Linked DNA regions of Caenorhabditis elegans. The protein of the gene in region 1 interacts with the protein of each later gene in a biochemical or structural test. Each region holds a gene or a part of one and is shown in the gene's direction. Other genes may lie near its edges.

The links. The genes of interacting proteins can lie anywhere in the genome.
Region 2: of the proteins of ckr-2 (region 1) and nlp-12, one has a biochemical effect on the other in vitro, tested with the Caenorhabditis elegans proteins (2 studies listed by BioGRID, with this or other methods).

What each region holds. Positions count from the first base shown.
Region 1 is NC_003281.10:2,016,893-2,025,343, reverse strand, and holds the start of ckr-2 (G-protein coupled receptors family 1 profile domain-containing protein), read left to right. Parts: upstream 1-3,764; coding exon 3,765-3,877; intron 3,878-8,451.
Region 2 is NC_003279.8:1,841,763-1,846,372, forward strand, and holds nlp-12 (Neuropeptide-Like Protein), read left to right. Parts: upstream 1-1,621; 5' UTR 1,622-1,644; coding exon 1,645-1,699; intron 1,700-1,778; coding exon 1,779-1,837; intron 1,838-1,894; coding exon 1,895-2,023; 3' UTR 2,024-2,197; downstream 2,198-4,610. Other genes in the region: emr-1 (Emerin homolog 1), read left to right, coding at 698-836, 911-1,161, 1,214-1,324; tag-96 (Galactokinase), read left to right, coding at 3,459-3,555, 4,581-4,610.

The sequences.
Region 1 (8,451 bases):
AAATTTCGACCATGTTTTGAAATTTTCTAACTTTGTCAATTTTTGAGATTTTTCTCAGATTTTTTACCTATAATTTTTCTTAATTCTTATTCTAAATGAAAAAATTTATTTCAACTTCCTTTTTATTCATATTACGTAAGCAGATTAGTGTTCGTGGCGGGACTCTAAATTTCGAAAAAAAATTTGGTTTTTTTTTTGTTGAAGTTTTCAAAAATTCATAACTTTATTAATTTTCATGCTAATTTTTTGAAATTAGTTTCAAAAAATTTAAAATTTCAATATCTAATTGTAAAAACAATTTTGTTTTTTGAAAAATCAAAAACTACAGTACCTCAGGAGTTTTCGTGGTGGGACTCTAATTTTCAAAAAAAAAAACTCTTGTTTTTCGAAAATTCATAACTTCATCAATTTTCAAGCTAATTGTTTAAAATTTGTTTCAAAATGTTCACAAACCCAATTTCTAATTAATAAAACTAGTTTAGTTTTCAATACATTAAAAACTACAGTACCCCAGGAGTTTTCGTGGCTGGACCCAACTGACTTCTCCCCTGAATTCGTCATTTTTCTGTCAAAAGTTTGTGGTTGTAGAGTGTAGAAGAGTAAGTATAATGGCAAGTTTCCTCTTTTTCCGTGACAATTCGTCATTTTTTTTTGTTTGGTGGCTGAACGTCTGCTACTTTTTTTTCGGTTTGGAATTTTTTTTTGGGTGAAGCTGAGATTTTGACCTTCAGAACTTGTTAATGTGGACTTTTGGGGTGTGATAAGTGCAATGAAGTGGAAAAAAATTGGTGAAATTTTACCTACATCGAGGTTTTTTTTTGAAAACAAATTTTGAAAACAAAAAATTGCAAAATAATTTTTTTCGAAAAAAATTTGTTCTTCAAAATTTCAATTTTTTATATTTTTTTAAATCAAAATTCTGCATAATATTTTATTATCCTTACCACTACATATCACCTTGAAAAAATGCATCCTTTTTGCCCAGCTTCTCCCCAAAGTTCTAGATATTTCCAGATTGCTTCCTGTTATCCCCGGGACACCTAACACTTTCTCTCGAAAAAATACAAGAAGAAAAAAACGAAAAATGTGTGGACTTCCCGGTTGAAAAACATGCAATCATCATCTCAAGTCCCTTGTGAATACATACATGTAAAAAAAGTGGAAATTTTTTTGAAATTTTTTTCTGGAATTTTTGGAAAACTTTAAAGGAATAACTTTTCTCATTTTTTAAAATCAAATTTATCAAAAAATTAGTGATCAATTAATTTGTTGAAAAGAAATTGTATAAATACTCGGAATTCTTTTAAAAAAATTGAATTTTAAAATTGAGATTTCCCGAAAAATTCAAAAACTCTAAAACCAAAAAAAGAAAATTTCGAAAAAAAAACTAATATCCGGCCGTTTTTATGATATTTTTTGACCCGACTTCGGAATCTCAAATTTTTCCTGATTTTTTTGTGGTTTTTCCTTTTTTCTGGATTTTTTGGAGCCCAGCCCAGGTTGAGCCTGACCTAAGCCACAGCCTAAATCTAAGCCTAAGCCTAAGTTTGAGCCTAAGCCTAAGCCTAGGCCTAAGCCTGATTCTAAGCCACGTCTAAGCCTGAGCCTAAATCTAAGCCTAAGTCTAAGCCAAAGCCTTAGCCTTAGCCTAAGCCTAAGCCTGTCTAGGCCTAAGCTTAAGTCTAAGCCTAAGTTTGAGCCTAAGCCTAAGCCTAGGCCTAAGCCTGATTCTAAGCCACGTCTAAGCCTGAGCCTAAATCTAAGCCTAAGTCTAAGCCAAAGCCTTAGCCTTAGCCTAAGCCTAAGCCTGTCTAGGCCTAAGCTTAAGTCTAAGCCTAAGCCTGAGCCTAAGCTTAAGCCTAAGCCTAAGCCTAAAAACAAGCCTGAGCCTAAGCCTGAGCTTAAACTTAGGCCTGTGCCTAAGCCTAAGCCTACAACTATCAAAGTTTTTTTTGGAATTTTTTTTCAAAGAAAATAAAAATTCAGTCTGCTTTTTTCCTTATTTTCCTTATAATTTCTCCATTTTTTCCAGTTTTTTCCACCCTCCCATTTATATTTTCATCTATTCATCTTTCTCACTACCACCTCCACACATCATTATTATTATTATTTACTTTACGTTTTTTTTTCCTTTTTTTTTTGGTTAGGAATTTCAATTTATTTCCGGAAGGTTATAATTAATCGTTTTTTTTTTTGAAAATTCGATAAAAAAAATTTTTTTAATTTTTTTTAATTTTCGACTTTTCGGAAAAAAAAAACTTATTTCTGAAAAAAAAAATAAATGAAAATTTTTTTTCAGGAAAAGTTTCTGGTTCCAAGTACGCCTATCCATTTGTTTTATTGAACATAAAAATTTATTGAAAACTGCAAAAATATGTATTTAAGTACACTAAAAAATGAGTGTGGTTTATTTTTTTTTTTAATTTTCAAACTACACCATTCTCCTCATTTTTAACTTGCAATTAATTTTTTGCTAAATTTCACTTCAAAATTCAAATTTCCCGCCATCTAATATCACTTTTCCCATCTTTACTTCCCTTTTCCTGGCGGCTCATAGACCCTTAACTAAGCTAATTTTGCTCAATTTCCTCCCACTTTTTTGCTCTTTTTGCTCACTTTTCTGCAAAACGTTAATGTCGGTTTTTTTTATTCTAAAATCAATTTTCTCATTTTGTTGCCAAATTAGACAAATTTTTTGTGCGAAAAATTTTTTGTCAGTTTTGTTTTTAATTTTTGAAAATCCGTAACTTTGTCAATTTTTGAGAATTTCAGTTAATTTTGGCTCAAAATTTACGACAAATGATACTTCAAATTGTAAAAATAATTCAAGACAATGCAATATTTTTCTACAGTAACCCCAAGAGTTTTCGTGGTGGGACTCAGGGGTGTGCGGCAAATTCGGCAAATTTGCCGTGCTTAACAAACTCGGAAAATTTTGATAATTTTTGATGTTTTTTGGAACACCAAAACTACTGAGATCTTAACACTCATCTGGTTTCTGAATAAGTTCCGTGTAGTATGTCTGCTTAAGCATCAAAATAACGCAATTTTGTGTCATTTTACTAAATTTTTGGCGAAAAAATCAATGGTTTTAGTCAAAATTGCCCTGTCAAATTTTTGACGTGTGCGGCAAATTTCAAAATTTGCCGAACTCGGCAAATTCGGCACACGGCAAATTCGGCAAGTTCGGCAAATTTGCCGCACACCCCTGGTGGGACTCTAATTTTGGAAATTTTACGATTTTCAAAAATTCATTACTTTTTTAGTTTTGGAGATTTTCAGTTGATTTTTGGCTTAAAATTTGTGCAATATTATTGGCTGAATACTAAATTTAATTTTAACACAGTAAAATCCATTCTACACTAACCCCACGAATTTTCGTGGCGAGACACAAATTTTCAAAAAATAATTTTTTTTTTGATTTTTCAATTTTTCTTTCGTGGTTTTCGCGGCGGGACCCTAATTTTGAGTTATTTTTTGTAAAAATCTAAAAAATTGATTGTAACATTTTGTTATCATTATTAAACTTTAAATTTAAAAAAATTCAAATTTTTTTCCAAAAGCTTTTTTCCTAATTTCCCAACCTTACAACTTTTTTCAAATTTTCGCTAACTTTTTACTGAATTTTTTTAATCCAATTGTATTTTATTTTTTTATTTACTATTTTTCCAGTTTCCCTTGCCCCTTCTTACTTCCTCATTCGCAAAAAAAAATGTTTTTTCCAAAAAATCCCTAGTTTTTTAAATTTTTTCAGGAACACCATTATGAATGCGGCGGACGATGAGAACATCACCAATTATGATACAATGAATTCTTCGTCATTTTTGGAGCTTCTGAACGCCACTTCACCGCCGCCAATATGGACATTGAACAGCAAGTGAGCGGCAGTTTTTCTCCTTTTTTCTCCTTTTTTCCCGCCGAAAATTAGATCAAAAATTAGTTGATTGAGTTACTGGAACAGAAGATTTTTGTTCGGAAAACATCATCAGATTCTGAGAAATCTCGGAAAGGCTCTGCTAGCTTTTAAATATCTGAAAATTCCGGCTTGTCTCGTAATTTTTTTTTAAAGTTTTGGGTCCCACCACGAAAACTCTTTGGGTTAGTGTAGTATTGTACCTATTGACTTTAAAAATTTTTTTGTCATTTAGGCCATAAATTTTCACAAATTGTAACTTTAAAATCTTTGAATAAAGTCAAAAATTGGCAAAGTTATGGGTTTTCAAAAACTGCAACAACTTTTTTTTTTGAAATTTTGGGTCCCACCAGGAAAACTTTTGGGGTTACTGTAGAATAAATTCTATTGTGTAAAAATTAATTCGAGCATTTAGTCAATTAAATTTTACACATTTTAGGTTAAAACCATCTAAAATTCTCGAAAAATTGCAAAGTTATGAAATTTTTAAAAATCGAAAAATTTTCCAACTTAAAAAAAAATTTTCAGAATTTTTTTCAAAATAATTTTTTAAAAATTGTTCCAAAATTTCTAGAATTTTGTTTCAAAGTAAAAATGTGCTTCAGCTTAACAAGAGCTTTCAAAAAAGTATAAACATGACTATGTTCTGCTCATTTTTAATTTTTATCGAATATTTTGGGTCCCGACTCGAAAACTCTTGGGGCTACTGTAGAAAAAAATATTACTGTGTAAAAGTTAATTTTAACATTTAGCCAATAAGATTTCACAAATTTAAAGCCAAAAATCAGTTGAAAAACTTGAAAACTGAAAAAGTTATGAATTTTTGAAAAATCGGAAAATTTCCAAAATTTTTAGAAAAAATACTTTTTTGGATTTTTTGTATTTTTGAGATTTCCAGGCTCCCTCCACAAAAACGTTAAGAGTGACTGTAAAAATATACAAAAAAATTTTTTTCGTGTTGGAAAATATTTGAACTCTGTACTGGAAAATGGCTGAAATTTTCGAAAATTGCCTCCTCTTTTTTTGGTAGTTTTTTGGATTTTTTTTGGAAAATTATGGTCTGCCAGATTTTTAAAATGCTGGGTCTCGCAACGATTTAAAGGCGTATATGACTAGATGGGTGTCGTTGTGAATTTTTGAAAGCCCTGGTATCAAAAATTTCGAAAAAAAGTTCAAATTTCAAAAAAAAAAATTTGAAAAAACATTTTTTTTGAAAAATTTTAAAGTTTTTTTTTTAATTTTTCAAAAAAACATTTACAACTAGTTTCCGGGTTTTAATTACTTTATAGACTTTCCATGATATTCTAGACGTTCAAAACACACAACAAATTGCACTCGAATAGACATCTGATCGTATTTTCCGCCGAAGGTCTCTCACGCCTGCTCCCCTTCTAATTTTCTGAATCATCCAATAACATCTCCGTATCTTCTTCTTTTTCTTTTTTCTAGTTTTCTAAAGAAAATTCTGAATCCTCACTACTCGTCTAAAGTCGAGAAAATTTGAAGAAAATGCGCTAATCTTTCGCTTCTCACGGGGCGCGCTAGCCCCCGTCACAAGGGCTTAACTCGTCGTTTCACCCGTATTGAGCTTTTCAAGCCGTTTTTGCAACGTTTTATAGAACTTGGGGACCATAAATAATTATTGTGATAGTTTTGGAGAATTTTGAAAGTTTCGAAAAACAAATTTTTTTTTGGTCGAAAATTTTTTTAAACTTGGAAATTTTTACTTTGTTTATTTCACCTTATTTAACTTTTTGAAACCTTTCCAACAACCCCCATCATGTCCATATTACATTTCCCCACATATTTATGATATTTTAGGGTCCCGCCACGAAAACCCTTCGGGTTACTGTAGTTTCGTTTATAAAATTATTTTTCTAATTTTATCTAGTTATTTAAAACTTTAAATAATAAGAAACAAAAAAATTTTCAAAAGCTGACAAAGTTACGGAGTTTTGAAAAGCTTCGACATATTTTGAAAATTAACTTTTGGGTTCCGCAAAGAAAACTAAGGTTTTACCGATTTTTGTATTCGAAACTAGTTGTTTGTAATTTTTACGCTTAGAAAAAATAATTATACACGTAATAAGTCAAACCTTATTCGAAAATCTCAAAAACTGACAAAGTTACGAATTTTCGAAAATATTCGAAAAAACATTTTTTGAAAAAAAATTGAAAAACTTAGAAACTACTTAAAAACTCGAAAAGTTTTGTGTTGAGGCTATTTTTTCAACGTAAAATTTAAAATCAAGCAGACTGAGTGTTTCCAAATGCCATCCATATTGCCTAGGTTACGGTAAATCCAAAATTCAGGGCCTCACCACGTTTTAAAGGCGCATGGAGTTAGAAATTTTTAGAAAATTTTTAGGCTTAACCTAGACATGCTAGGCATACTGGGGGCCTATTAGCAGTAAAAGCAAATGGGTTTTCAAAGAAAAAGAAATTTTAATCTTTTTTTTTTTTTTGGAAAGTTTGGGTCCCGCCACGAAAACTTTGAGAATTCATAAATTTTGAACGCAGAATTGGTTTTTTGCATTTATCGTGAAGAGAGCAAATACTTCTGAAAATTTTAAGCCATAAATCTCCGTACTATCTCAAAAACGGACAAAGTTACAAATTTTCGAAAATGTTCGAAACATTTTTTTTTCAATTTTTTTCAATAATTTCAAAAGTGCGAAAACTAGGTCAAAACTATCAGAATTTCTTAGACTTTTTGTTCTAACAAAAAACCCGTTGACCTTTTTAACCCATAGAACACATATTTCTCTACGTGTTCAACCGAATTTTTTCGGAGGGGACTTTCAGCGGGGGGTGCTTCACCGCGTAGACACCTTCGTGTGTCCCCTGCGCCACTTAACCGGCCATTTCCCATTCAGAGAAGAGGAGGTGAGGGTGTGTGTGTGACGACATTTTCTAAGAAAGTTTGCAGTTTTAAGTAGGTTCTGATTTTTTTTTTCGAATTTTTTTTTTCGAAATTTTTATTTTTTTTTTATTTCCAAAATTTAAAAATTTGCGTGGGTACCGATTCAAAATAACTTTTTTTTAACAAAAAATGAACTTACAGAAAAAACCCCGACGAAAAACCAGAAAAGAGCAAAAATTTCAGCCAATTTTGAGAGTTCGCCCAATTTTCCAATTTCCATCTTTGGCTCCGCCCACTTTTTAGCACATAGATCTTTTTTTAAATTTTTTTTTCTTTAGTTTTGTAGGATTTGTACAGCTGTTTGAATTTTTTTTTCAAAAAAAAAATTCAAAATTTTGGAAAAAAAGTTGTGTTTGAGATTAAAGAAAAAAATTTTGAAAATTATTTTCAAACTATTTTATTTCGATATTCCTCTAAAATTTTTCATTTCCGCAATTTTCAAATTCAACACACCGAGAGCTTTCAAATGGCACCCATCACGAATATTTTCCGACCATTTTAAAAATCCAACCCTCAATGTGCCTTTAAATCGTGGCGAGACCCGAATTTTCAATTTTCAAGCAAAATAACCCAACCTAGGCGATATGGAGCTTATTTGGAAGCTCTTGATGTACTGAATACAACAATTGAATTAATTTGGGTCCCAACGCGATATTGTTTTGGTTACTGTAGTTTTAAAATTTTCCATCATAGTTTTTTTTTTCAATATTTTCGAAAATCCGCCAAAAGTCCACTTTTAAGATTTTTCGCTAACTTTTTACCATAAAAGAAGTATAAATTCACAAATAAGTCGAGAAAAATAATTTTTGCGCAGTAACTCTTTTTCTACAGTAACCCCAAGAGTTTTCGTGGCGGGACCCAAAATTTTCGAGAAAAATTCAACATCAAATTCAACATTCATGATTATACTTTTTTGAAAGCTTTCGGTTAGCGAAAACACATTTTTGAACTCAAATTTAAAAAAATGAAATTCTGCAAATTTTGGGACCATTTTGAAAAAAAAAATCCAAAAAAAAAAGTTTTTCTTCGATAATTTTTTATCCCACCAAAAGTGACCAATAGTTCAAATGTTGCTCATTGAGCACAAATCCAAAGTTTCTAAAAACTTCGAAATTTCCACTAAAAGCATTGGAATAAACATTTCCCCACACAGGCTTAAGCTTACCCGTTTGTTAGTGTAAACATGGCTTTTTCCAGAAGAATCTTGTCAAAAGTTCAGTTTCTCGAAAAAATTGTAACAAATTTTGTTTTTTTTTAGGTTCACAATAGAGTATGGGAAAATTGAGTTATTGGTTTGAAAGTTCCGAAAATTTCGGATTTTTTTTTCGAAAATTTGCAACTCTTTTTATTCTTTACTCGAACTTTTGGTTCTGCTGCTTTTTGTAGTTTTATTTTATACTTTCAAATGGAAAAATAATTTTTTAACATTTGAAGTCAAGAAATAGCATAAATCAAAAAAATTGGCAAAATTGTGAATTTTCAAAAAAATTTTAAAAAAAGTTTTTTTTCCAAAATTTTTAAATTCAGTATTTTTCAGAATTCAACTCAATCTTGTTTCTAACTTTTGTTATTTTGTCTGAAATATTATTTCTAACATATTTAGTTTATTTTAAGT
Region 2 (4,610 bases), on another chromosome or scaffold:
TCTTCTTCTCAACCGAAAAAAAAACCATCCCCCATCCACACACCATCCCCCCTTCTTCTTCCCCATTATTGTATCGACTTTTTGCGATAGTTTTTAATTTCATATTTATTTCTATTAACATTGATCTAATTTTATGTAAATGTTTTGTGGACAAAAAGAAATGGTTGAAACTTTATTAAAAAAACCTCGTTTTCCGTATTTTATTTATGTATGATTCGAATCATGATTCAGGAAAAAAAGCGCGCGCGAAAATCATTGATTTAAATCTGCGGGCTGGAAATTCCTCCGTAAATCGACACAAAGCGATATCGTGACGAGACCCGTCCACTCTGCGTCTCTCGCCGTCGCGTTGTCTCTCAGCCAATTTGACTTGGGTTTGAAATTATTTTTTCATAATTTTTCATTTTCTCCTGTTTTTAATCAGTTTTTTGTAGAATTTTTCATTTTTTCGGTGAAAAATCAATGAATAAACCATTTTTTAAGTAGAAAATCGCCCTTCCTCAATTTTTGCTCGAAAATTGTCATTTTTTTGCCTTTTCCAGACCATCTCACAAAAAATGGGCATTTTTAATTTTTTTGGTAAAATGTTCAATAAATAAACGATTTTCTCAAGATTTTAGGTAGAAAATCGCTCGTTTTCCTCAATTTTTGCTTGAAAATTGTCATTTTTTGCTTTTTCCAGACCATCTCACAAAAAATGGACGTCTCCCAGCTGACAGATGCCGAACTACGCGATAGCCTTAAAAGCCACGGGGTTTCTGTTGGGCCAATTGTGGCGACGACCCGCAAGCTCTACGAGAAGAAGCTTATCAAGTTATCAGACGGAAGCATTAACAGTGAGGATTTGAATTTAAATTATTTATTAATTTCTAAATAACATTTTTAAAGTTTTCGAACCTCTAATTTCCAGATCAATCAAATCTCAACGACTCTCAATTCAACGAGGATTCATTGATCATCAGCTCGTCACCGAAGAAATCACCGCCACAACGAGTTTTCCAGAACGTGTCAGCTGCAACAGCGGCAGCTACTACCTCTCCCGAATCGGACAGCGACGATTGCGAGGAGTCGATGCGATACTTGACGGAAGAGGAAATGGCCGCCGATCGGGCATCGGCTCGTCAAGCTCAGAGCAACAAAGGAGGATTCTTGGGAAGCACGGTGAGTTTTTCGCCCTTTTTCTGGCAATAAAAACTTATTTTCTATTTTCCAGATCACATTCACAATTCTCTTCGTCTTCATCGCCGTCTTCGCCTACTTCTTGATCGAGAACGCCGAGCAGTTGAAGCTCGTGGCCGAGACGAATCCGGAGGATACTATTTAAATTATTTTTTAAATTTCTATTTTTTTCTTTGACTGTTGAAATCGCTATTTTTACCCCTCTCCCTCCCCCATCACTCTTTTTCTTTAAATCCTTTCACCCCATTTTCATCACTTCATTTGGATAAACGCTATGAATCTCTCTCTCAGTTTTTACGAGCCCATCAACTCCAGAAGCTAACCAAAATGGTAGGGGGGAAAGGCGTGGTCCCCCCGGCTCCGTTGGGAAATATGACGAATCTGTAGTTTACTGATGGGGGGGGGGGTGGTATAAAAGCCCGACACCTCGACTCGGCGAAACTTATTTCAATTGCCTCCGACAAAATGCTCCGCCACCACAGCTGCGCCCTGCTCATGCTCATCCTCGTATTCGTGGAGGGTTCGTCGTTTTAATACTATTTTTAGGCCAATTTTTAGGCCAATTTTTTTTCTAAAAATTACTTCCGTTTTTTTTACAGTTTTTGCAACACAGTCGCCGACGTTTGACCGTCAGGATCGCGATTACCGGCCACTTCAGGTAGGGAACAAGACATTTTAAAAAAAGTTAAAAATATTATACACACATAAATTGCAGTTCGGCAAGCGAGATGGGTACCGTCCATTGCAGTTCGGAAAACGCGACTATCGGCCTCTCCAGTTCGGAAAGCGAAGCAGCGGCAGCTCTGGACCAGTTGTGCTCGAGCCAATCTGGGAATGGCAATAACCGACCCCGTCTAACTATTTTTCCCTGCTCCGCCATCCAAACCACCAATCGAACGATTTATTTTTTTCTAATAACCAACACAGAGACAGTCGCCAATGAATCATTTTATTGTTGAAGAATTTCTTTTCTTTTTTGCAATTAAAATCAAAACAAAAAACTTTGAATAAAGCTTTTTCTCATTTCGGTTTGATCTACGTAGATCTACAAAAATGCGGGAGTTGAGACGCAGAGTTCTTTGCAGAGTGTTTTGGCAAAAAATTCCCGCATTTTTTGTAGATCAAACCGTAATGGGACAGCCTGACAACACGTGTTTCTGTGGGTCTCGCCACGCCGGCAATTAATAACTATTTTGCTTCGTGGTGAGACCTATTGTGGAATATTCTGGGTCTCGTCGCGATGGAAGCTACTAACACAAACTTGTAATTTCGCTTTGAAAATTCTGGAAAAAACTCTGAGCCGTGACGGGACCCAGTCTAGATTATCTTTTTGCAAACCAGTGTGCGCCTTTAAGGAGTACTGTAGTTCAGGGGTGGGCGGTAAACGATTTTTTTCCGGCAAATCGGCAAATTGCCGGAATTTTAAGTTTCCGGCAAACCCGCAAGTAGCCGGAAAAACAACAATTTTCCGAAAATTTTCGGCAAATTGTGATTTTGTTTTTATTATTTTTTGGAAATTTTGGAATTTTAATTTCAAATGGCAAAATTAAACGCATCCTATGAATTTTCCTACATCTATTTTGAAAATTAAGCAAATTTTATGAAAATATCCTTTAAAAAACGGGAAAAAATTCAAAATGACACAGTTTTAAGTGTTTCCGTCTTGTAAAAATTCCTCTAAACATTTCCGGCAAATCTGATATCCGGCAAACGGCAATTTGCCAAAAATGAAAATTTCCGGCAAATCGGCAAATTGCCGATTTGTCGAATTTGTCGACAAAAATTTAGGAAAACGTCAAGAAAGAGGCATATTACCGAGATGAGAAATTCTGCTTCAAAAAATGCTGAAGCCGGTCTCGAAGCGACACATTTTCATTAAATGCGAAAATATATGTGCGCCTTTAAAGATTACTGTAATTCGAAAATTTTCGTTGCTCACTTGTTTAAAAAAAACATGGGTTTTGATATTTTAAATTTGGTTTGTCCAAAAATTTTGGTATTTATTTGAATAGATTTTTCTCGAAAATAAGAAAATGTGTGAACTACAGTAATCCTCAAAGGCGCAGACCGTACTGAACATCATCGAATCCCTTATCTATCAGATTCCCAGTACACCATGCACGCAACACGTGGCGGCGGGCAACACAGAGTATGGTCAACATGTTAGAGACGCAGACAGTCATATAAATATTATTTTGTTTGTTATAGGTGGTGGTGCCCCTATTGTCTTTTCTACAACTTCCAATTTCCTATTATATAGTTTCAGAAATTCGTTAAAAATGGTCTCAAATGAGCAGCTCGCCGAGCAATTCGTCAAATTGTATGGTATTGAGCCAGAAGTTCGTGTCACGTGTCCGGGCCGTGTTAATTTGATTGGTACGTTGTTATTGGTCTTGCCACGATCGAAACTTTCGCAGAAATATATGTTTCTCTGGAAATTTTGCTTTACTGTATAAAAAATGTATTAAAAATAATAAAAAGCATTTCGAAATATTTCCGCGGTTACGGTAGCTCAAAATTTTGAAGTTTCAATCGTGCCAGGACCCAAAAAGTGTTAAAAGTCCCGGGTTTTTTTCCTATCAGGGTTCAGGTATCAGGGACACGTTGAAATTATAGATTTTCTCCTCAAACACCTAAAATTGTATTTTATAAAATAAAAGATAATTTGAAATTTGAAATTTTGACTATTACGGGAACACAAAATTCTGAGAATGCATATTGCACAACATATTTGACGCGCAAAATATCTCGTAGCGAAAACTACAGTAAGTCTTTAAATTACTACTGTAGCGTTTGTGTCGATTTAGCGGCTCATTGGTCATTTTTAACCGATTTTCAGTACTCTATCGATAAATAAATTATTTATATTCACCTGAGCCCGTAAATCGACACAAGAGCGCTACAGTAGTCATTTAAAGAGTAGTTTTCGTTGCGAGATATTTTGCGCGTCAAATATGTTGTGCAATACGCATTCTCAGAATTTTGTGTTCATGTAATACAAAAAATTAAATCTTCTCCTCGGGGAGTACACGAGCCTACATAGATCGTCATGGTTAACTGACCACAGACTTGCAAAAATCATAGGAACTTGAAACAATTGAGAGAAAAATGACACTTTTTTATTTTGAAAAATGAAAGTTTAGTTGCAAAACTGCTGCCTTAGGTCTTGGCACGAATGAAATTTTATCAGCTACACGTGGTGCCAGGCTGTCCCATTACGGTTTGATCTACAAAAAAAAGCGGGAATTTTTTTCCCAAAAACAGGTGACGTCAGCACGTTCTTCACTATGCGAAATCAGTTGAGAACTTTGCTTCTCTTCTCCCGCATTTTTTGTAGATCAACGTAGATCAAGCAGAAATGAGAGTTTTGACACCATGTGCAGCTACCGTAACATTTCCAGGCGAGCATATCGATTACCATGACTATGGTG